Linked DNA regions of Yarrowia lipolytica. The protein of the gene in region 1 purifies or fractionates together with the protein of each later gene. This does not show direct contact. Links are inferred from orthologs where the notes say so. Each region holds a gene or a part of one and is shown in the gene's direction. Other genes may lie near its edges. The genes, in order: YALI1_B20521g, YALI1_E16451g, YALI1_E05664g and YALI1_F24401g.

Region 1 (6,291 bases):
TGTGGTTCCCCCTGTTCTCGAAGCTTCTCCCGAAATCAAAACTACTGTTGCCGCTGCAGAACGTGAGGATTCTCCTGGTTTCGATTTTCACGATGCCGAGGAGTCCATGGAATACCAATGAATTGCATTTACTTTTTTATACCCATGTTCGTAATCACCGTAACATTATGGACTCACAATCCCGTAGATGCAGTACATACAGTACATAACAATGATAGCTGATTCTTGCGCCTTCAAGAAGGCGTTTTAGAGTATGTGCTTGTGTACGACGAAAAAAAAACACGCTCACCGTACAGAACAAATTATCGCAAGTACAACAGTACAACTGTAGCACCCGAAGTACTAATTTTCCTCACACATATTTTTACATCATGGTTAATTTAGTCTATTTACATTAGCTAAGATTGGTCATCAAGGCCAACAATGTCCTCAAACAGTTTCTGGCAAGGAACCTCGGCATTGAGCTTGGCACACAGAAGGAAAGCACCGGAAAGCTTTCGGTGCAGACCGTAAGTCTCTTCAGGAGGAGGGGTCAGTCGTTCCTTGAGCATGACACCAATGTTCTCTCGAACTCGATCGGTGACAGTCTGGTTGGCAAAGTTGAAGTCTCCCCCTCCGTTCTCGCCGTTAAAAGGCTCACCAAGAGTGATCATGGAGTCGATGTGGGCATTGAGCATTGCTTTCGACTCGAGACCAGTAAGGTATCCGAGTTCAAGAGAGTACTTTTCACAAGAAGCTCGATCCTTTCGAACGGCTGCTCGCAAGCAGTTGAGGTAGTCGTTAATGAACTGGTCGGAGTAGCCTCGAGAGGCACCGAAGTCGAGAAGTTCCAACTTATGGGTCTTGGGGTTGTACAGGAAGTTGGCCCAGTTGGGGTCGGTCTGCATGAATTTGAACTTCGCAATCTCCAGCAAACACAGCTCCATTATTCGGGTAGCAATCCAGTTCTTCGTGTCCTGATCCCAGGGACCCTTTACGATATCTTGGCCTCGAAGTCTCTGCATGGTCAGCACCTTGTCGGTGGAAGCCTCATGATAGACCTTGGGAACAACGTAGTCGGGGTAGTCGGCCAGGAGCTCCTGGAATCGCTCCAGGTTCTGTGCCTCCCGGATGTAGTCACACTCCCATTTGAGCTCTACTCGAGCGTTAGCAACAGTCTTGTCAAGGAATAGACCCTCGGGCAGCATGCTGGAGGCAGTCATGAGAATCATCAGGTTGTTAAGATCGGAGTCAATGGAGTCAGCCACGCCTGGGTATTGAATCTTGATGGCGACGGGCTCGTAAGAGTCTCGCAGAACAGCGGTGTTAACCTGGCCAATAGAAGCAGCGGCAATGGGCTTGTCCTCAAAGGAAGAAAAGAATTCGTTTCTCCATCCTTGGCCGAGCTCCTTGGTAAGCACCTTGTGGAGCTGCTCGGCGGGCATGTAGTTGGCACTGTTCTGGACTCGAGAGAAGATCTGCTGAATCTCAGGCGGGAAGACTCGAGAGTCCTGGAAGGATAGCTGCTGGCCAATCTTGAGGGCAGCTCCTCGCATCTGAGACAGCGACTTGACGAGACGTTCCACATTGCCGGGGGTAAGCACCAGAGATCCGGCGTGAGAGTTGTCTCCGGTGAGACGTCGGAAACCTTCACCCAGAGCACCAACACCGAGACCAGTGGCCAAAGTGCCGTAGTGGAAGAGTCGCTCGAATCGACCGGAGGGCACAGCAGAAGACATCATTTCTTCTCTGATTTCCTTCTCTCCAATGATCCGATCTTTGGGCACCTCCGCTCCAATGATCTCTTCGCCAATGGAAGGTCCCTTGTCGGAGGACGACGAATACATTCGCTTGGTGGAAGGATCCACGGAGTTGCCGTTGATTGTGGGTCGCTTGTTGTTGAAGGGATCAAAGACCATCTTGGCTGAGCTAGACCCTGATCCCAACGGACCATTGGGCACACCAGGAGTCAGGCCCGTGGGTCCTGTCTGGGCAGGAGGATCTCTAGGAATGGTTCCATTGGCAGTCGAAAGTGGAGCAGGTGGGCATCTGTGTTAGCAATCGTTCAAAAAGCGTGTCTGTCATATATTTCGATACTCACACTGAGCTCACTACACAACCCTTGAGACCGCTCACAATGGACGAGCCCTCGAGGTGGTCATGAATGGATTGCTTCTGGATATCCCAAGCCTTTTTGGAAATGTTGGCGACCGAACGGCCCAAGCCCACCAGTTCGTAATTGCGCATTTTTGTTTGATCAAGTTGCAGTCTCCAAGATGATGTTGTAGGCTGATCTTGGGAGCTGTGGTTAGGGTTGAACTGGGAGTAACGAGATTTGATAATCGGAGAGGGCGATATTTGTGAGCGGCTCAACTCCATCAGTTGCACACAACTTAGAGTGGCGGCTTCAGAGACAGAAGAGAGACAACGCCTTTCATTCTTCATGTACGATCACACTCCGTAACATTGTATCAGTGGGACTATCTTCGGATGTCAACCACCATGACCAGTATAGGTGATTAGTAAGACACGCTTGAGCAAGTATAACGAGTTGGTTTCATTTGGGGAAACTGAATAGAGCAAAAAGGAGAGTTAGCGTATGACATATTTTGCATGTTTAATACCTCCTGGTAATGTTCGTCTCTCTTCATCCCTCTTTCGGTCGTCTATCCTCCGTGTCATCTTGTCGCCACTATGATATGAACCATATAAGGTTCGAACTCTTTTTAAAAAATTCAGAAATCCTGCATAGGGCTATTTGAACTGTTGTATTCCCACCCATACTCATCATATTCATTGACGAACGATAAACCAACAGTTACAATGGAACCCGTGAGCAAAAAGCCCAAGACTGACGAAGAGGAAATCGTCGAAGACTATGAGGTTGAGGAGTATGTTCCCGACAACACCCTCGTTGAGTTGGCGTCTGGACTGACCCGACTCCAGACCACAGCCGATGAAGGCATGAAGCACGAAGATGGACCTAACAACATGTTCAACGGAAAGGAGCTGTCGACAAAGTATTTCGATATCCTTAAGGTCCGACGAGACTTGCCCGTCCATGTTCAGCGACAACAGTTCCTCGATACCTTCCACTCTACTCAGATCATGGTGTTCGTTGGTGAGACTGGATCTGGTAAGACTACCCAGATCCCTCAGTTTGTGTTGTTTGATGATCTCCCTCAGCTGCAAGGTAAGATGGTTGCCTGTACGCAGCCCCGTCGAGTTGCAGCCATGTCTGTTGCCAAGCGTGTGGCTGATGAGATGGATGTGAGACTTGGCGAGGAAGTTGGTTACTCCATTCGATTCGAGGATAAGACCAGCCCCAAGACTCTTCTCAAGTACATGACTGATGGTATGCTTCTGCGAGAGGCCATGCACGACCACAACCTGTCTAGATACTCATGCATTATTCTCGATGAGGCCCACGAACGTACTCTGGCTACAGATATCCTCATGGGTCTGATCAAGCAAGTAGCTGTCCGACGGCCCGATCTTAAGATCATTGTCATGTCCGCCACACTGGACGCCCAGAAGTTTCAGTCGTACTTCAACGACGCTCCTCTCCTGGCTGTTCCCGGTCGAACCCACCCCGTCGAGATCTACTACACTCCCGAGTTTCAGCGAGACTACCTTGAGAGTGCTCTTCGAACTGTTCTCCAGATCCATGCCACCGAGCCCGAAGGAGATATTCTGCTATTCTTAACCGGTGAGGAGGAAATTGAAGACGCTTGCCGAAAGCTCAAGCTCGAGTCCGACGAGCTCACCCGTGAGTCTGGCTGTGGTCCTCTTAAGGCCTACCCCCTGTACGGCTCTCTGCCCCCCAACCAACAGCAGAAGATTTTCGACGACGCTCCTCCTGGAGGACGAAAGGTTATTGTCTCCACCAACATTGCTGAAACTTCGCTTACCATTGACGGTATTGTATACGTCGTCGACACCGGCTTCTCCAAGCAGAAGGTGTACAACCCTCGAATCCGAGTTGAGTCTCTGCTTGTGGCTCCCATCTCAAAGGCGTCTGCCCAGCAGCGAGCTGGCCGAGCTGGCCGAACCCGACCTGGTAAGTGTTTCCGACTCTACACCGAGGATGCCTTCAAGAAGGAACTCAACGAGCAATCCTACCCCGAGATTCTGCGATCCAATCTTGCCAGCACTGTTCTGGAGCTCAAGAAGCTGGGCATTGACGATCTCGTTCACTTTGACTTCATGGATCCCCCTGCTCCCGAAACTATGATGCGAGCTCTGGAAGAACTCAACTACTTGACTTGTCTTGACGACGATGGAAACCTCACCGAGCTCGGTCGACTTGCTTCCGAGTTCCCCCTGGACCCCATGCTGGCCGTAATGCTCATCTCCTCACCTGACTACTACTGCTCCAACGAGATTCTGTCTTTGACTGCTCTTCTGTCCGTGCCCAACGTGTTTGTTCGACCCAACAACGACCGAAAGGCTGCCGACGAGGCCAAGAACAGCTTTGCTCATCCCGACGGTGACCATCTAACTTTGCTGAACGTCTACCACGCATACAGATCTGACGAAGCCCAGGCTGACCCCAACGAATGGTGCTACCAGAACTATCTGTCTCTGCGATCTCTGCAGTCTGCCGACAACGTGCGAGCTCAGCTCAAGCGACTGATGGAGAAGAATGGACTGGAGCTCATGTCCACTCCCTACGAGGACCGAAACTACTACACTAACATCAGAAAGGCTCTTACTGCCGGATACTTCATGCAAGTGGCCAAGAAGAGTTCTCAGGGAGGCAAGAACTCTTACACCACCGTTAAGGACAACCAGGACGTGTTGATCCACCCCTCTTCGGTGCTTGGCCAGGACTCCGAGTGGGTGATTTATAACGAGTTCGTTCTAACCACTAAGAACTACATTCGAACCGTCACTGGCATTCGACCGGAGTGGCTATTGGAGATTGCTCCTGTCTACTACGATCTGGACACCTTCCGAAAGGGCGACATCAAGATGTCTCTCGAGCGAGTGTACAAGAAGCTGGAGGCGAAGAAATAGACGGTGGCGCTAACACGCAAGTGGAGGACAAAATAATGTATAATGGTAATCGATAGATATAGATTTTGACTGCGGGCTCGTAAGCATGTGATTGTGGGCCCGGACGTTGTAAATTTATTGGGGAACTCGGGCTTGGCTGTTCCACATGGTCGTCGTTGAGAGCATTTTAGGTGTTAGATTTTTGTTTATTTTATAATCACATAATGCATTATGCATTATGAATGGCTTAACTGATTATTTAACAAAACTTGCACTAATTTGACTATTTCCCTAACTGATTAGTTGATTATTAAGGCTCACTAGTAGCACATAAAATGCGAGCATCAGCATTCAGAATAGTGATCCGAAATGCGTTACTACCACGTTGATTACTACCCTGCAAGACACTCTCCGGAGTTTTTCCTTCAACTACTATACAGTGGTACCATGGTTGTAGTTAACAATACAATGTGTGTACAGTAATTAGCTACCAAAACACGTTCACCATCATTAAACTTCCAACATACAGCCAGTCTCATTTGTCTCACCTTCACTGCTCAACTTTCTCATCTTCAACTCACGCCATAATGAACATTAATATCACGCCAGAAACGCCTCAGACGTCTTCCACGGCGCAAGGGACATCGTCCAACAACGCAGGCTCTGGGAATACTCGCATCCAGTTCTCTCGAGGCAACAGTCGAAGCTCAGGGCTACGGGTACCTTCCCTTCGAGGGGAAGACTCAGAGGCCGCGGAAGATTCAGATGCAGAGGCTCCTGATGCGAGGTATTCTGCTGGAAGCAGTGGAAGGCGACGTGTGGACACTCATGACAAGTTGTGGGCCGAAATTGACATTCTGAACGAGGTGCAACGCATCTCTCAACTCACACAGTCCGACAAGGGTTTCTTCGGCAAGGCCCACTCAGATGCAGTGAACCAGCTGCGACAGACACAAATCAATCTTGCACGTGCTCTATCTAACATCGATAAGCGAATGGACAAGTATGAGATCGCAGAGGCAGGCGATATCGACACTATTAAGCGAACACTTTTCAACCCTGAACACTTCGAGCAGGTGAACCATAACGTTGAGCAATCGTTCATTAAATTGCAGGCGGTAGGAGAAGCCATGAAGGAGGCTCATGACAGAGAGAACTGGGACGAGAGTTAGATGGGGGATTTCCGTTTATTTATTCAATATGTATTCTCAAGACATGAGCGCAGCGCGCACTCGCATGTACTGATAGCGATAGACATCGGGTAGATATAGCACCACAAACGAGGAGTATACATATTCCTCCAGATATCCCCAA
Region 2 (5,593 bases), on another chromosome or scaffold:
CCGAGTCGCATCAGATGTCGAATGAGAATTCTGTGGGCGTCTCGGTGCAGATCCTCGTAGTTTACGCCGGGTTTGATCTTCTCAATGCAGTGATTCTGGATGTCCAGCACAGCCTCGTAGATGTCTCGGCACTCCTTGGTCCACTCTCCGGAGATGGGGAAGCAACGAGTCACGTCAGAGGCGTAGTTCTTCCACTCGGCACCAGCGTCAATCAGCACCAGCAGCTTGTCGTCGAGGGGCAGGTCGTTCTTGACGTAGTGCAGGGTGCCAGCAGAAGTACCAGCACAACAGATGGGATCGTAGGACTGGTTCTTGGAGCCCTGTCGGATGGAGTGGTAGATAAACTCGGCATGGATATGGCCCTCGTTCTTCTCAATGGGAAGAGCAGACATGACGGCTAGATGCGAGTTGTCGGTGATCTCGGAGGCGTGTCGCATGAGAGCGAGCTCGTGTGAGTCCTTAATGGCTCGAGCCTCGTCCAGCGCGTCCAGCAAAGGCTGAGACATGGTCACGGCGTCTCGCTTGTCGTAGGTCTCGACACTGATGAGCTTCTTGCCCTTGAGGTCGCTCTCCAGGTGGTTCATGTACTTGATTTCGTCCACGTCAGACACGGCTCGGATCTGTTCGGGAGACAGCGGCAGGCCGGACCACATGACCTCCTCGTCGTCAATCTCGGGAATGTAAAGAGTGATCTTGTCGTCCTTGGCGGAGTAGGTGACAATGGCGTCGGGGGCCTCGTAGCCCGTCAGATAGTAAAAGTACCGGTGCTGTCTGAGAGGCACGGTCTGGTCCGAATGGGGCCACAGGGTGGTTTTGGCAGCTTCAATGTACCACAGAGCGTCGTCGGAAGCTCCGGAAGCTTTGAGGTGTTGCGCGGCCTTGAGGGCGTGGGCCTTGGCGGGGTATTGGTCGACGGTCATGATTGTGTGAAGAGAGGAGATGTGGAGAAAGAGAGGTGTTAGCCGATACTTGTATCCGGATCAAACTCTAAGATTTAGTTGCACGAACGGCACTGGAGATGCAGTTGAGCGGTGGACCAAATGCAGGTAGAAAGGGTAGGAGTAGGCGATCGGAGTCCGACCGTATGAATAATCTGTACGAGGAGTAGGATACGCACACTACCGAGTCCTTTTGCTTAGTAATATACCATGTCTTGTCTTGCCGCGAGCCCACTGTATATAATAATGGCCTACTTGTACGAGCACTGTATTTTCTTGGGTGAAATTTCACTTCTGTCATCCTGACTTGGACCGGATACAAGAAGACATGTTCCGAGAGAGACATCATGTGTATGTATGATGGCATGTACGTGGAGAAAGACAACTGTGGAGTACAGCAATTAGTCATTCAGCTGCTGTACGTACAGTCTTGTAGGTTGTGGTATGGTGTGACTACTAGTTCCGATCCCGTTCCTGTTGTATCGAGACACTTCTATTAGGGAGATGTATGCCTCTCACTTTGATGATCTTGTATTGTATCAGACCCCATTGAGAAATCACCTGTAACATGGCCAAAGGCGAAGTGCTAGTCCTTGGGGATATCTCCAGGTCTCCGTTGTATCCCCTTTTTTTTCCTCCGTGTAGATCTGTCTGCTATATTATAGTCACTGGACTCCATGTCCAGTCAGACTCTGAATGTCCTCTCGTACACTACATACTGTACATACTCCTTCGTCAGTCCATGAAGCATTGTTACGAAGAAGAAAATGAAAAAAATGGCACTTTCAATATATCAAATTGATGGGCTCGCATAGGAGCTTCGATTTAGCTGCTTTCGGCATCTTTTTCACTATTTTTTGTCTCGTTTATCTTTGGTGATCACTGCCTGTTCCCCGGGATGGACTAGTAGACACCTAAACCGGCCATTTTTGACAAAGGTGTGATATAAATCTCGTATGCTAGTTGTTGTTGGTCACGTATACTTCCTATCTATGTCTTCTTCGCCCCCCATTGTCATACAAAAATGGTCTCTTCTGGACCCCTTCCATTCACCTCTCAGCTCCCATACCGCTTCTACTGTAAGTACGAATCCTCACAAACTTGTCCAGTTGCCAAATGCCACAACACTCTCCTCAGTCGCTTAATAATCGAGATACGAGCATATAACTCGAACTGGTGATATAATACGTGACCTTACTCACCCTTCGTCGATAAATACCTCGTAAGAGCACCTGAACTGACTCCCCCTTCACCCACCATTCACCATCTTGACGCATCCTAGAACCTTAAGTTCAGAGCAGTCTTGAAGTGATGGGCAACCCAGCCATGAGCCCTTTCAGTGAGTGTCAGCAAAGTGTGGCCGGGGTTTGAACATCCGGGCCATGGAGATGCTGCCATGACCACGTACCTATATATACCTGTATTTGTACTGTTTATGTTGTCACACTCCATACGACACTCCAATTGCCTATATGCCTACAATCTAGCTCACGCAACGCAGTCACTGATTTGTGGCGATATAAGTACAATAAACGTAGATCGAGCATCAAAATACCGGCCAAAACACCTCCAAACCCACGTCACACACCCACAAACCACCTTGTCAAGTGAATGACCAGAATATATCTCCCCGGTACCCTAACCGCCACCCTAACCCCATACCCTAATGCAGAAGGACTCGTCCCAATCCTGGCCGCTCCCCTAATCCAAACCCAAAGTACAAAAATTCTGCGCAGTGAAAAAAAAATTGAAACTCACATTGAGAGCTTCTCCTACATATCGACCTAGCAACACTATCGACATGTCTGCTGTTGTTCAGGAACAAACCGACTATCTCATCAAGCCCGAGAATGTTGGCCCCTCGGCCGACACCTCTGAGTGGCCCCTTTTGCTCAAGAACTACGACAAGCTGCTTGTGCGGTCCGGTCACTACACCCCCATCCCCACCGGATGTTCTCCTCTGAAGCGAGACCTCAAGTCGTACATTGCTTCCGGTGTCATCAACCTCGACAAGCCCTCCAACCCCTCTTCCCATGAGGTTGTTGCCTGGATCAAGCGAATCCTGCGATGCGAGAAGACCGGTCACTCTGGTACTCTGGATCCCAAGGTTACTGGATGTCTGATTGTGTGCATCGACCGAGCCACCCGTCTGGTCAAGTCCCAGCAGGGAGCCGGAAAGGAGTACGTGTGTATCGTGCGACTCCACGATGCTCTTGAGGACGAGAAGGAGATGGCCCGTGGCCTCGAGAACCTCACTGGAGCCCTGTTCCAGCGACCTCCTCTCATTTCCGCCGTCAAGCGACAGCTGCGAGTCCGAACCATCTACGACTCCAAGCTGCTTGAGTTTGACAACGACCGACACCTCGGTGTCTTCTGGGCCTCCTGTGAGGCCGGTACCTACATGCGAACCCTGTGTGTGCATCTGGGTATGCTGCTCGGTGTTGGAGGCCACATGCAGGAGCTGCGACGAGTGCGATCCGGTGCTCTCGACGAGTCCGACGGAATGGTCACCTTGCACGACATTCTCGATGCCCAGTGGCTCTACGACAACACCAAGGACGAGTCGTACCTGCGACGATGCATCCGACCCCTTGAGTCTCTGCTGCTCGGCTACAAGCGAATTGTAGTCAAGGACTCCGCCGTCAACTCCATCTGTTACGGCGCCAAGCTCATGCTTCCCGGTGTTCTCCGATACGAGGAGGGCATTGAGCTGGAGGACGAGATTGTGCTCATCACCACCAAGGGTGAGGCCATTGCTCTTGGTATTGCCCAGATGACCACCGTCGACCTTGCTTCCTGCGACCACGGTGTCGTGTCTCGAATCAAGCGATGCATCATGGAGCGAGACACCTACCCCCGACGATGGGGATTGGGACCCGTTGCTACCGAGAAGAAGAAGCTCAAGGCCGACGGTAAGCTCGACAAGTACGGTCGACCCAACGAGAGCACTCCTGCCGATTGGAAGAAGAGCTACGTGGACCACACTGAGGACGAGCCCGTCACCAAGCCCGTTGTCGCTTCTGTGACCGAGACCATTGCTGTCGAGGCCCCCAAGAAGGAGGTCGAGGCTGATGTCTCCATGGCCGCCGACTCTGACGATGAGGAGGAGGACAAGAAGGAGAAGAAGAAGGAAAAGAAGGACAAGAAGGACAAGAAGGAAAAGAAGGAAAAGAAGGAGAAGAAGGAGAAGAAGCGAAAGGCCGAGGACTCCGACGACGAGGGCGAGAAGAAGAAGAAGAAGAAGAAGAGCAAGGATTAGTGTCTGCATGTAAATTATGTTATTATTTGGTTCCGACAAAAAGGTGCAAAGTGGCTTGGACTGAAGAGTGGAAGGGTAGATTGTCAGTGTGAATACTAAAGAAGAGTGGCAGTAGAAGATGGCTAAGATTTGTATGGATTCTGGTTCTGTATTGAAGCTAGGCTCATCACGCGGTATGAGGCCTACAGAGACAAGAGGTGGTATGTGGACGAAAAAATCATGTTGAGAAAGTTGACTGCGAGTATGCGTACAGTTGATGATGTGACACCCCTTGAATACCGTCTGATTGAATACCCAACTGTTAACAGAAGGCGGTTTCACGGAGAGCATGGCAGTGTAAACAACAGAGAAGTTATGGCCAACCAACCTGGGCCAAGAAGCTGGTCAAAGGCTTCTTCGTTCCATCCAACTTACGTACTCAGATTGACCATCTATCGGGCTACCCGGATATCGACCCCGAGTGGCTCCAAGCTCTGGATGAGCGTGGCATTTCCCTTGACCGTCAGCCTGAAGAACTTCAGCCATGTGAAAAACTTCAAGCGCTGTGGCGACATGGCTTCCGACCAGCGTTGTCGCTCGAGGAGCACACCCGATGGATTCGCAACACCTGCGTCGCCTCCCTGATCAAATGAGACAACGTTGGTAAGTACGGAGGCTACTTGGTCAACTGGCTCGGCTGTAACAGTAATTGTCACCCAAGCTCCCTCTCCGGAGGCATGTTCACAGCCCACTTGGACGAGCTCAGAGCACAGGCTTCTAGTATCGGTACAGGTGCGTACCAGCAATAACTACTGTATCTTCGTGATGTTAAGATGTCTCTACGACCTGAAGATGCGTCCACGACCACCACCTGAAGATGAACCTCTATTTCCCACTCTAACCAACCCATCTTCTTGACCTCAGTTCTGTAGGAGATGTAAAGTCGATGAAAAAAGTTCTCATAACTACACTACTCGTACTCGTACCGTAAAGCACAATGTACAAACATCCCTAGTACACCAATGCAAACAGCCACTCGTCGTCAAATCACACATCAGCTTGCAAGAAGTTGTGTCACAATGCTCTTCTGTTGAATTCGACAGATTCGCTGAACTCGACAGATTCGCTGAACTCGACAGATTCGTTCAACTCGACAGATTCTAGAATGTTCCAGAACCCACATCCAGAACCCACATGCCTCGTACAAGACGATAATCCCTCTGAACACTTGACGGGCCGTCGACGTGATTGTACATGTACATGAAAAATGCCCTCCAAACGTCACCGCTTATCTGCCCACGTCGATTGCACATTTAGTTTGCTAATTATGCTAAAAAGCCTTCAAAATGTCGTCGACAGCACAATACCAACTTCTTCAGCAGAGCCGTCAGAAGCCCCAAATGAAGGCGCTCAGAAG
Region 3 (5,194 bases), on another chromosome or scaffold:
AGCCAGGACGCTGTAGAAGCTCCAAAAGGCAGGCTGGAGGTACCTGGTCTGGATCTTCTGGATCGATATCTTGATAGCAGTGATCAGTCGAGGAGCACGCTTCTTGGTGGCTTTGTGCAAGTCAACAATCCAGTTTGCAACCTGGGATACCCGTCGATGTAACATCGAGAAAGGCCTGAACCATTCGGCGCAATGGTGGGCATTTCGGTACCGGTAATAGAGCGAGTGGATGATCTCAGCCTCGCTCAGGAATTCGGACACCTGTAGGCCTAGTCCTGCGTTTTCCGTAGTTTTTTGAAGCTCAGCTTTGTATGCCTTTTTCGGGAACGGCGCCTCCCGGTGCTGGTCAGCATATACCGATAACATGACGTATGGTGTTGTGTCAGACTCCCAGACGACACCCAGAAATAATTATTCCTGTCCTGCATTTTCGAACTTTCATGGTGTGAGTGAGTGAAGCAGCTGGGGTGGACAATGTGGACAACACAACAAACGGTACAAGAGACAGGAGTATCGTAGAGTCAATATTCCTATATTGCAAAGGGACTCTTTTGTCAGGCTCCCAATTATTATTAATATTCTTTCATAGTTGTAGCTTTATGGTACGAATGCACTTCATAAAGTCTGGTGTTCCACGACCACAAATATTATAACCAACATCTGGACACGCTATCGCTACACTACGAGTACCAGTGGCGCTACTTGTACTTGCATCGAAATCATCAAAACCTATCATTCAGTGTGTCAAGTTTAGTTACAAAATATCTATATACAATTATCTTCCGACGTTGAGAAGAAGAGAGTTGCCAGAGGAAGCGCCATTGGATCCGTTGCCTCCCTTGGGCAGGTAAGTGACGTTGTTGGACTGGGCAAGAGTGGTGGCAATCTCCTTGGAGGCCTCGATTCGTCGAATCAAGAGCAGACCATCACCGGCCTTCTCAAGAGCCTTGGAAATGGCCTCGGCGGACTCGGCTTCTCCCTCAGCTCGGATAACGGCGGCTTGTCGCTCCTGCTCGGCCTTCTCGACGATGAATCGGGCTCGCTCGGCATCCTGCTGGGCAATTTGCTTCTGCTCAACGGCCTTGGTGAACTCCTTTCCGAAGGTCATGTGGGTAATGGAGACATCCTCGAGGGCAATGTTGAACTCACCGGCTCGCTTGACAAGATCCTCTCGAATTCGGGCGGAAACAACCTCTCGCTGGGTAATGAGCTCGGCGGCATCGAATTGAGCGACAATAGACTTGAGCACCTCGTTACCAATGGAGGGCAGGACTCGCTCGTCGTAGTCGAGACCAAGAGACTGGTAGATGTGGGGAAGCTGGGAAATGACGGGTCGGTGCAGAACTCGCAGGGTCAGAGAAACCATCTGCAGATCCTTGGATCCGGTGGTGGTGGCGATGTTTCGGGGCTTGGTTCGGACATCGAAGATAATGTCCTTCTGGAGCCAGGGAACGAGGAAGTGGGTTCCCTCTCCGATCACGTTCTGCTTGACACCGGCAAGACGGTCGAAGATGACAGCTCGGTAGCCACCACGAACGTCGTACATGGCGGACTGCATCAAGGTGATGCCAACACCGACAGGAATGGCGATGGCTGGGTTAGTATGGGGTCTCGAGATTGCGTGTTGCTGTGGATGTGCGGTGCGGCACCCCCACGCCAAGTTGGCAAACATGCCATTGTTTGGTGTCAGGATATTCGCAATGGCACATTGAACTTATGTATGGACTCATCTTCCCTTTCCAGCCTTTCAATACTCACTTGTAAGGACTCCCAATAATCTGTTGGACATGGTTGCGGTGGGGAGAAAGAGGAAATGGTGTAAAAGTTTATGTGGACGCCTCCCAGTTCAAGAGCACAACGATAATTAGGGGAGGGTTACAGTAACCGAAAACGAGGCTCAGGGGGAGTAATATCTGGAGTGTGAAAGAAGAATTGTTTCATTTTTGAAGCAGAGTTGAATCTGGCCAATCATATTTCGTTTATCCAGTTTCCAACTTGTTCCCCTGCTCACACCACTCATAACCTGTACAAGGCTATCTGAATAACTTGCATGAACATTTCAGCCGTCATAATCAGAGACTACAAGGAACTTGTAATCCACACATGCCTGTCGCCAAAGACCTGTTTCCAGAGTATGGTACTCTCGCGACCGGCGAAAATGAACCCTCTCGAAATATCCGACGTGCTCAAAAACTCAGGGAGTTCCAGAACCTCGAACTTCCACCATACCTAGCAAAGCAGGTGGCTGCCAAAATGGCAGAGAAGGGTTTGGCAGTGGAAGCCACAGGAGGTGTGGCAGTCCAGCGAATCGCAGGAGGATCTCAGAGCGGCCAGAAGGCTCTGATGGGAGCTTCTTCCTCGGCACTCACGAAACACACGCCCTCTGCAAGCCAACCAACTACACACGACAGTCTCACTAATCTCGGAGCCAACCTTACACAGTCGAAACCGGCGTGGCACGCACCATGGGAGATCTACAGAGTCATTACAGGCCATCAGGGCTGGGTGAGATCTGTTTGTGTTGAACCAGAGAACCAGTGGTTTGCTACAGGTTCTGCAGACAAGACTATCAAGATCTGGGATCTGGCTACAGGAAAATTGCGACTGACTCTCACAGGACACATTATGGGTGTTAGAGCATTGGGAGTGTCGCCACGACATCCTTACATGTTTTCGGGAGGTGAAGACAAGATGGTCAAGTGTTGGGATCTGGAAACTAACAAGGTCGTTCGACACTACCATGGCCATCTCTCTGCAGTCTACTCGCTGGACATTCATCCTACTCTGGATGTCCTAGTGTCTGCTGGTCGAGACGCTGTGGCCCGTGTGTGGGACATTCGTACTCGTGACCCTGTGGTTGTTCTCAGTGGACACAAGTCGACTATCAACAGAGTCAAGTTCCAGGCCTCTGAACCCCAGGTGATTACAGCTTCGGCAGATGAGACTGTGCGACTGTGGAACCTACAGGCCGGGAAGACCATGACAACGCTCACGCATCACAAGAAGAGTGTGCGAGGCCTCACTTTACATCCCGAGGAGTTCACTTTCTCCACGGCCTCTGCTAACTCCAGTAAGCAATGGAAGTGTCCCGAGGGCGATCTAGTGCTCAACTACGACGACCAGAACGCTATCATCAATACCCTGTCCGTTAACCAAGACAACGTCATGTTTTCGGGAGGCGACAACGGCTCTATTGGCTTTTATGACTGGAAGACTGGACATATGTTCCAGAGCACCCAGTCTATTCCCATCCCAGGATCTATCGAGAGTGAAAACGGTATTTTCGACTCCAGTTTCGACAAGACTGGTCTTCGCCTCATCACCTGTGAGGCTGACAAGAGCATCAAAATGTGGCGCGAGAAGCCCAATGCCACAGCAGAAAGTGATCCCGGTCTCGAATGGAAACCCAAGATATACCAGACCTATTAGAGGGATGGTGTATCAGAATTTCGCATATTTAATGTATTTTTAGTTACAAGTACAATTGTATTGGTTGGCGTTGTCATTCTTTTGTTTTGCTTTCCCTCCTTTTCAGCCTTCGCTCTACTTGTAGGCCAGTGGTACCAATACAGGCACAGTATATGGACCCAATTCCAGAACCATACTTATACAATTTTCATTTTTTTCCGGAAACATAAAAATGGATGGTCTCCAAATAAAAATGAAATAACAACTACATGTACATTGTACTTGTACAGTTGGATATATGTGTGTTTCACCAATATAATCGCAGATTTAATAACTGAATAATATCATATAACAAGACGATATTTCGTAAATTCCCCCCTACAGTAACTGGCACATTCCTGTCTCTATTAAGGTGGCTGTACTCATCTCCCAACATCACGTGACCATAACTATTTTCAGTTTATCAAAATTTTGTCGCCACCCGAACATCAACGAGCAATAGCGCGACGAAGCTATATAACACCCAGGCAGTTTACTGTCGCTCACAACACCTCCAAAGATGGCTCTCGCAGAAGCAGACTTGCCCAACGGCAAAACCAACGGCAAAGCCTCGGGGTCCGAGGAGACTCCTGCGCCCGTTCAGAAGGTCGACATGAACGTGGCAATCAACGAGCTCCGTGTGGGCTGCAAAGTCCACGTCGAGAAAGACGGTGAGGACCGAGTTGCTGAAATTCTCAGCGTGCAAATGAGACGTGGTAACCTCGAGTTCTATGTGCACTACGTCGAGTTCAACAAGCGTCTGGATGAGCGTATTGCGGCTACTCGAGTCGACTTGTCACAGGGTGTCATTTGGCCCGAGCCAGAGAAGCCCAAGAAGCCTCTCAGTGGTGCTGCAAAGGAGAGCAGCAAGGAGAAGAAGAAGAACCCCTCCAAGAAGCAGAAGCTCACAGATTCGGCTGCAACTACTCCTGGAGCCAATTCGGAAGATGTCATGGACCTGGACAACCTCCAGGTTAACGGCACCACCCAGGACCCCGACAATTTCAACCGTGACGAGGAGATTGAGAAGCTCAGAACTGGAGGAAGTATGACACAGAGCAGTCATGAGGTGGCTCGAGTTCGAAATTTACAGAGAATTGTTCTAGGCAATCATGTCATCGAACCGTGGTACTTTTCTCCCTATCCTATCGAGCTGACCGAAGAAGATGAAATCTACATTTGCGACTTTACCCTGTGTTATTTCGGGTCCAAGAAGCAGTTTGAGCGGTTCAGATCCAAATCCACTCTGAGACATCCTCCTGGGAACGAAATCTATCGAGATGAGGCAGTCAGTTTCTTCGAGATTGACGGCAGAAAGCAGAGAACATGGTGCCGAAACCTGTGTCTCCTTTCAAAGCTTTTCCTGGATCATAAGACTCTCTACTACGATGTGGACCCCTTCCTTTTCTACTGCATGACTCGACGAGATGAGAAGGGTCACCATCTGGTAGGATACTTTTCCAAGGAGAAGGAGTCTGCTGAGGGATACAATGTCGCTTGTATTCTCACACTGCCGCAATACCAGCGTCACGGTTATGGCCGCCTTCTTATTGACTTCTCATATGCCCTTTCCAAGGCTGAGGGCAAGACTGGTTCCCCAGAAAAGCCTCTTTCAGATCTGGGTCTGCTGTCATACCGAGCCTATTGGGCAGACACCATTATTGAGTTGCTCATGGAGAAGGGTAAGCAGGAGATGACAATCGAAGACATTGCCTCCGTGACCGCCATGACCACTACAGATGTGCTG
Region 4 (5,983 bases), on another chromosome or scaffold:
GGTTATATTCGAGGGTCTGCTGCAAGGTAAGGAGACGGATAACCGAATCGTGATGAGTGCCTGTAAGCTGCTCGATCTTGTGCTGGTGCTTAACCAGGAGGATTTCCAGCTGGATCAATGGCTGTTTGTCACCGATTCCAGTGATGCTATTTACGGACACCCTTACGGTATTCTGGATCAGTTGGCTGAGTCTACGCCTGTCAGCAGTGATGATCTTCATCTGGAGGAGACTTCCAAGCGACGGCCTTTGCTTTTTGGACAGAAGATTGGTTCTCTTACCTCTCTTGCACAGCTAAAGCCTTTCTTTGACCGGCTCTCCATTTACAACTACGAAAGTGTTTACGCTCTCAAGGAGACTGATCAGGAGGCTTGTGAGCTGGATCTCTTGGCCGATATCCAGGAGTAAAGATGATATATTATACTAAATAGATTAATGAATGAATGATATGTATGCGTGTGAAAAAATGTAATTAATATGCAATGATGGTCTACTACTTCAGCTCGAATCTGTAGACACTTAGAAGTTCCCTGCCTTCTTTTCTTTCAACAATGCGCGTCACGATCCATCCCAGTTCCCTCATTTTGACAGCCACTTGTTCTGGCTTGTTGCTTGCACAGAACAAAATGTAGGCGATTCCGTTCTTTGACAGTATGGTCTTCAGTTCTAGTAGCACCTTCCAAGTCACCTGCATTCCGTCTTCACCTCCAAGAAGTGCCCAATCGACCCAGTCACCATCTGTCTCCGGGTAGGGTTCTACGGGCTTGTCGTCTGGCACATATGGAGGGTTGAAGACCAGTAGATCGATGGTATGAGGTCTCATCATTGTGGTACGTTCTCCACGAAGCGCCTCGAGGTACTGGGTGCCGTTGTTTTCTTTTGACGTGGCCAGAACCTGGTTGCATGCAAAGGGGCTGATATCTGTAGCCAAAAAAACGCCTTTGGGCACCACGGATTTCAGCATGAAGGTGGTGACGATGCCTGATCCGGTTCCGATCTCTGTCACCACAGGGTATGACAGATGGCTGTTGATGTAGCTCTGTTCCATTTCCAGCACGTCCAGGAGCATGAAGGAGTCTTCGCTGGGCTCGTAGACCTCTTCATAGTTGGCTGATGACGTGGAAGGTGTTGGAAACGACATTTCTGGGTGGTGTCTAGACTACGATATTCTTTGGTGGTTGTGCATGCCAAAATATATATTCGCATGCAACTTAAACTCGTTCCAGCTGCAACTCAACCTCAACCACTATACAAGCCACGCAACATGAAGATCAAGATCAAGGTGAGTATGATTTGGGGAGACCGCGGGGTACATGATTGGGGACTCGAAAGAACTCATTGTGCGCATCCTCCCCGCAGATTCGTGCTTGCGGTGCGCTAACTTGGAAATGCTAACACAGACACTCATTGGAAAGGAGGTGAGTCCTGAACCACGATATACACCCAGCAGTAACATTCCTAGATGAAATGACATTTGGAACACTGTTGCGGCCAGTGTGTGACGACGAAGCTAACACAGATTGAGATGGACGTTGAGCCCGAAGATCAGGTGAGTATGAAGAGATGGAGGGACTGGGGGGACTGTTGCGAAGTGGTCACGCGTGCGTGCCACGATGAAGTTGGCATGAATGAGACACGATAAGGGGAAAAAGTCATGGGAAAGTGCTGTTCTCTATCACGATCCTACAAATGCAAGGTTCACTTACGGACCTGTTCGCACCTATCCCGTCACCACTCAAACAGGACTAACTCAGATCTCCGTTCTCAAGGAGAAGATCGAGGAACTCGAGGGTATTCCTCCCGCCCAGCAGCGTCTCGTTTTCACCGGAAAGCAGCTCCAGGACGAGAAGACCATTGCGGAGAACAAGATTGAAGCTGGAGCCTCTCTGCATCTGGTCCTGGCCCTTCGAGGCGGCAACTAATGTATTGATAATTGACTGATTAGAGGATGTGGGATGGGGCAGCGTGAACTACGTGCTACTGGATGAACATATGTGGAATTAGGTATAGATGTGAATAGGTAGTAGCTACTTGTAATACTTGTAGTCTTTTTGGTTGCCATACAACTAGCTACTGTAGCTACAGTATGTTCTGTAAGTACGTAGTTACATACAATACTTGTTCCTGTATTGTGGCGCCAGTATCGATATAAAGATAGAATAGACCGACAAAACAGACGGGAAAACAAATGTATCTCTTAGCATTAGGTGTTGGAGGTAGTACTTGTCTATATGTCTATATATACTGATTTCCACAAGTCAAGATGCGTTCACACTGTTCCGCTCATCTCATGTTGACTCGACGAAGCTTAGTTATCACTGCAAATAAAACCTTCGCAGAATCATCACCAAAAAATATTGACGCCATATACGACCTCGAAACACCACACCGGTATGGAAGGAAGGGTGAAAAACAAAGCGCCCGCCGCGTTGCAGATTTCTGCAGAGCAGATTTTGCTGGAGGCATATGAGCGAAAGGAGACGCCTCTTCAGCAGACAGAGCAGATTGCCGATCTGGAAGAGCTGGCAGAGTACCAAGGCCGCAAACGACAGGAGTATGAGGGAGCCTTGCGACGAAATCGACTGAACACCGGCCAGTGGATGCGGTACGCGCAGTGGGAGCTGGAGCAACGGGAGTTTGCACGTGCCAGATCTGTATTTGAACGAGCTCTCGAGGTCAACCCAACGCATGTGCCCACCTGGATCCGATACATTCAGTGCGAGCTCAAGGAGAAGAACATCAACCACGCACGAAACCTGCTGGACAGAGCCGTCACACTCCTGCCGCGTGTCGACAAGCTGTGGTTCACATACGTGGCTACAGAGGAGACGCTGGGCAACATTGCCGGCTGCAGAGCCGTGTTTGAGAGATGGATGCATTGGAGGCCGCCGGTGACCGCCTGGGCAGCTTACGTGAACATGGAGAAGCGATATCGTGAGTTTGACCGTGCGCGGGGCATTCTGAGACGATATGTCACTGTTCATCCAGGTGCACCAGCATGGAACAAATGGGCCAAGTTTGAGATGGAGGCAGGAAACAGAGACACCGTCAGGGAGGTGTATGCTCTGGGAATCGACACATTGGTGGAAATGGCGCATGGAGGCGTGGACTTTCTGGATGAGAGTCTGCTGGCTGGATGGGCGAGTTTTGAGACTCGTCATAGGGAGTACGAAAGAGCAAGAGCTCTGTACACTTATGGACTCGAGAAGCTGCCCAAAAGCAAGTCTGCAAAGCTGTATGCTGACTACACGGCCTTTGAGAAACAGTATGGAGCCAAGGAGGGTATTGAGAATGTGGTTCTCACTAAAAGACGATCCAAGTACGAGGATCAGTTGAAGGAGGACCCTGCAGACTACGATACGTGGTTCTCTTACATCACTCTAGGTCAGGAAAGTGGTCTTGAGGCCGATCAGATTCGTGAGATCTTTGAACGTGCTGTTTCTAACGTTCCCCCACATTCCAAGCGTCTTTGGAGACGGTACATCTTTCTGTGGATCAAGTATGCCATCTGGGAGGAGCTTGAGAACAAGGAGGTTGAAAAGGCCGGTGAAATCTACAAAACATGCATATCTATCATCCCACACAAAAAGTTCACATTCGCCAAAGTGTGGTTACTATGGGCCAAGTTTGAGATTCGACATGGCAATCTGCCAGAGGCTCGTAAGATCCTAGGCCGAGGACTGGGCATGTCGGGGGGCAAACCTGCGCTGTACAAGGGATACATTGCTCTGGAGGCCAAACTGCGTGAGTTTGACCGGTGTCGAAAGCTCTACGACAAGTATGTGGAGAAATTTGCCGAGTTTGCTGCTCCGTGGATGGAGTATGCGGAGCTGGAGCAGATGCTTGGTGACGAGGAGCGAGCTCGTGCTATTTTTGAGCTAGCTGTGTCGCAGCCCGAGATGGAGATGCCTGAACTTGTGTGGAAACGGTTTATTGAGTTCGAGGCTGAAGAGGAGAACTACGACCGAGCACGAGCCATCTACCGACAGCTTCTTGATCGAACCCACGGTCACATCAAGGTGTGGATCTCGTTTGCCCAGTTTGAGGTCACTGTTCCTGCTGAAGACCAGGAGCTGCAATACAACGACGAGGGAGAGGCCGAGATTGAGGTCACTGAAGAAGCAAAGGCACGCGCACGAAGTATCTTTGGCGAGGCCTGGGACGCTCTCAAGGCCGCCAACAAGCGAGAGGAGCGAGTGGTTCTGTTTGAATCATGGCGTGAGTTTGAAGAGGAGCATGGAGATGACAAGTCTAAGGCGGATTTGGACAAGCGAAAGCCCACTCCTGTCAAGAAGAAGCGAAAGCTGGAGGATGGCACCTTCGAGGAGTACATCGACTACGTCTTCCCCACCGACGAGGAGGACAAGTCGTTCTCCAAGCTCCTGGAGAATGCTCGAAAATGGAAGCTTCAGAATCAGTCTTGACTGTGGGAGCCAACTATGTATTTATCTGTATATGTATAATAGAATCGTTGTATAACACTAGCTGCGATCCCTTATTCATGTTACTCCACCCTGCGCCACTATCACCAAGCTATCACCAAGCTACAAGTACAGCATTGTGTGTACAGGATGTACCAAAGACACTCGCTCTTCAGAATTACTGCTAAATAAGGTTTGAAAAGATTGCAGTAAAATATATATATATATTATAATATAAAAAACTTATCAAAATTTTTTGTACAAAATACAAGCCTACGGACAAAATGATATACGAGTCTAAGATCCAAATCCATTAGTATACATGTTAGTAGTTTTTTTATTTTGGGGGCCCGATAACTCCGGGAGGAGGAGGCGGGGGATGACGAATGGGCTGGTCTCCATCCATTCCAGGCACCCCAGGAGGAGGAGGGGGAGGAGGAACTTTAGAAAGACCAGGAGGTCCGGGAGGCACAGACATGCCGGGCACACCAGCAGGAGCGCCACCGTAACCACCAAAGCCAGAAGACGACATACCAGGGGGCCCGATGGGAGACTGGTTGTTATTAAACATAGACTGGTGGTGCACGGGGGGCTGGTGCTGATGCTGGTGCTGACGGGTGTCGCGATTCCACGGCGACTGCTGCATCGACTGCTGAACAGATACCTTGTCGTGCTTTTTGTAGTTGTCACGTCGCAGCCACGGGGGAGCAGCAGGCTGCGAGGGAGGTGTGGGTCTGTGCCAAGGAGGGAGTTCGGGCGACGAGTTGGACGAGTTGTTAAAGTTGCGGTCGTATCGGTCATAGTTGTTTCCGTTAGTGTTGTGCATGTTTTGCTGGTGGCTCTGCTGTTGGGGCTCTCGCTGGTTGGACTGGTTGAAGCCGCCTCGGTCAAATCTATCAAACGACCCTCCTCTCTCGCTCATGGGCTTTCGCATATTGATGGGAGCAGCGTTGGAGCCAGTCACAGCAGGGGGCAACTTGGACACGTTGTTAGTGTTGGGGTTCTGAGCAATGGACTGCTGCTGAGAGGCAGTGTCAATGACTCCTTCTCCCTGGAGCTCTCGCATCAGAGCGTCGTACTCTCTGTCGGCATTCTCAGACGTGCCAGCGTTGGTGCCCTTCTCGAGACAGTCCCGGGCGAAATGCCCCTTGGAGCCGCAAATATGGCAAACAATAGACGACATGAAGTTGTTTCGTCGCTTGTTGCGGTCGTCCATCTCGTCTCCAGAAGACGACTGGGGAGCGCCACCGTAGTTTTCGTCATCTCGAAGAGTACCGTTGAGAGCAGCCAGTTCTCGCAGCTGAGACCTCTTGAGCTCGTTCTGGCCCTCAGGAACACTAGCAGCAGTATCGATGACCTGCTGGACCAGCTGGACTGCCCGAGCAATCTTCTCTTCGTCCTCTGAGATGATCAGACAGTGAAGGTCATCCTCGGCAGTGGACTGGAAGGGGATGTCTGTTCGTCCCTTGCCCTGCTTAACACTGCCTCTGCCTCGAATGCAGATTTTGGCGCCTGATTCCTGCTCCATCTTCTTCAGCGTCTTTCCTCTGGCTCCCAGCAGCTG

Evidence for each region.
Region 2: the proteins of YALI1_B20521g (region 1) and YALI1_E16451g purify together in Saccharomyces cerevisiae (affinity purification with mass spectrometry; 3 studies listed by BioGRID). This does not show direct contact. The link is inferred for Yarrowia lipolytica from reciprocal best matches to the Saccharomyces cerevisiae genes PRP43 and CBF5.
Region 3: the proteins of YALI1_B20521g (region 1) and YALI1_E05664g purify together in Saccharomyces cerevisiae (affinity purification with mass spectrometry, with the first as the bait; 3 studies listed by BioGRID). This does not show direct contact. The link is inferred for Yarrowia lipolytica from reciprocal best matches to the Saccharomyces cerevisiae genes PRP43 and PRP46.
Region 4: the proteins of YALI1_B20521g (region 1) and YALI1_F24401g purify together in Saccharomyces cerevisiae (affinity purification with mass spectrometry, with the first as the bait; 3 studies listed by BioGRID). This does not show direct contact. The link is inferred for Yarrowia lipolytica from reciprocal best matches to the Saccharomyces cerevisiae genes PRP43 and CLF1.

The regions. Positions count from the first base shown.
Region 1 is NC_090771.1:2,048,643-2,054,933, reverse strand, and holds YALI1_B20521g (uncharacterized protein), read left to right. Parts: upstream 1-2,802; coding exon 2,803-4,998; downstream 4,999-6,291. Other genes in the region: YALI1_B20577g (uncharacterized protein), read left to right, coding at 1-121; YALI1_B20527g (uncharacterized protein), read right to left, coding at 399-2,028, 2,081-2,226; YALI1_B20493g (uncharacterized protein), read left to right, coding at 5,565-6,149. UniProt on the Saccharomyces cerevisiae protein: Pre-mRNA processing factor involved in disassembly of spliceosomes after the release of mature mRNA.
Region 2 is NC_090774.1:1,642,388-1,647,980, forward strand, and holds YALI1_E16451g (uncharacterized protein), read left to right. Parts: upstream 1-2,739; coding exon 2,740-4,197; downstream 4,198-5,593. Other genes in the region: YALI1_E16433g (uncharacterized protein), read right to left, coding at 1-920. UniProt on the Saccharomyces cerevisiae protein: Catalytic subunit of H/ACA small nucleolar ribonucleoprotein (H/ACA snoRNP) complex, which catalyzes pseudouridylation of rRNA. This involves the isomerization of uridine such that the ribose is subsequently attached to C5, instead of the normal N1.
Region 3 is NC_090774.1:563,322-568,515, reverse strand, and holds YALI1_E05664g (uncharacterized protein), read left to right. Parts: upstream 1-2,103; coding exon 2,104-3,429; downstream 3,430-5,194. Other genes in the region: YALI1_E05681g (uncharacterized protein), read right to left, coding at 1-366; YALI1_E05668g (uncharacterized protein), read right to left, coding at 776-1,672; YALI1_E05645g (uncharacterized protein), read left to right, coding at 3,968-5,194. UniProt on the Saccharomyces cerevisiae protein: Involved in pre-mRNA splicing. May also be required for cell cycle progression at G2/M.
Region 4 is NC_090775.1:2,436,518-2,442,500, reverse strand, and holds YALI1_F24401g (uncharacterized protein), read left to right. Parts: upstream 1-2,391; coding exon 2,392-4,422; downstream 4,423-5,983. Other genes in the region: YALI1_F24469g (uncharacterized protein), read left to right, coding at 1-406; YALI1_F24413g (uncharacterized protein), read right to left, coding at 492-1,139; YALI1_F24408g (uncharacterized protein), read left to right, coding at 1,627-1,920; YALI1_F24359g (uncharacterized protein), read right to left, coding at 4,757-5,983. UniProt on the Saccharomyces cerevisiae protein: Involved in pre-mRNA splicing and cell cycle progression. Required for the spliceosome assembly by promoting the functional integration of the U4/U6.U5 tri-snRNP particle into the U1-, U2-dependent pre-spliceosome.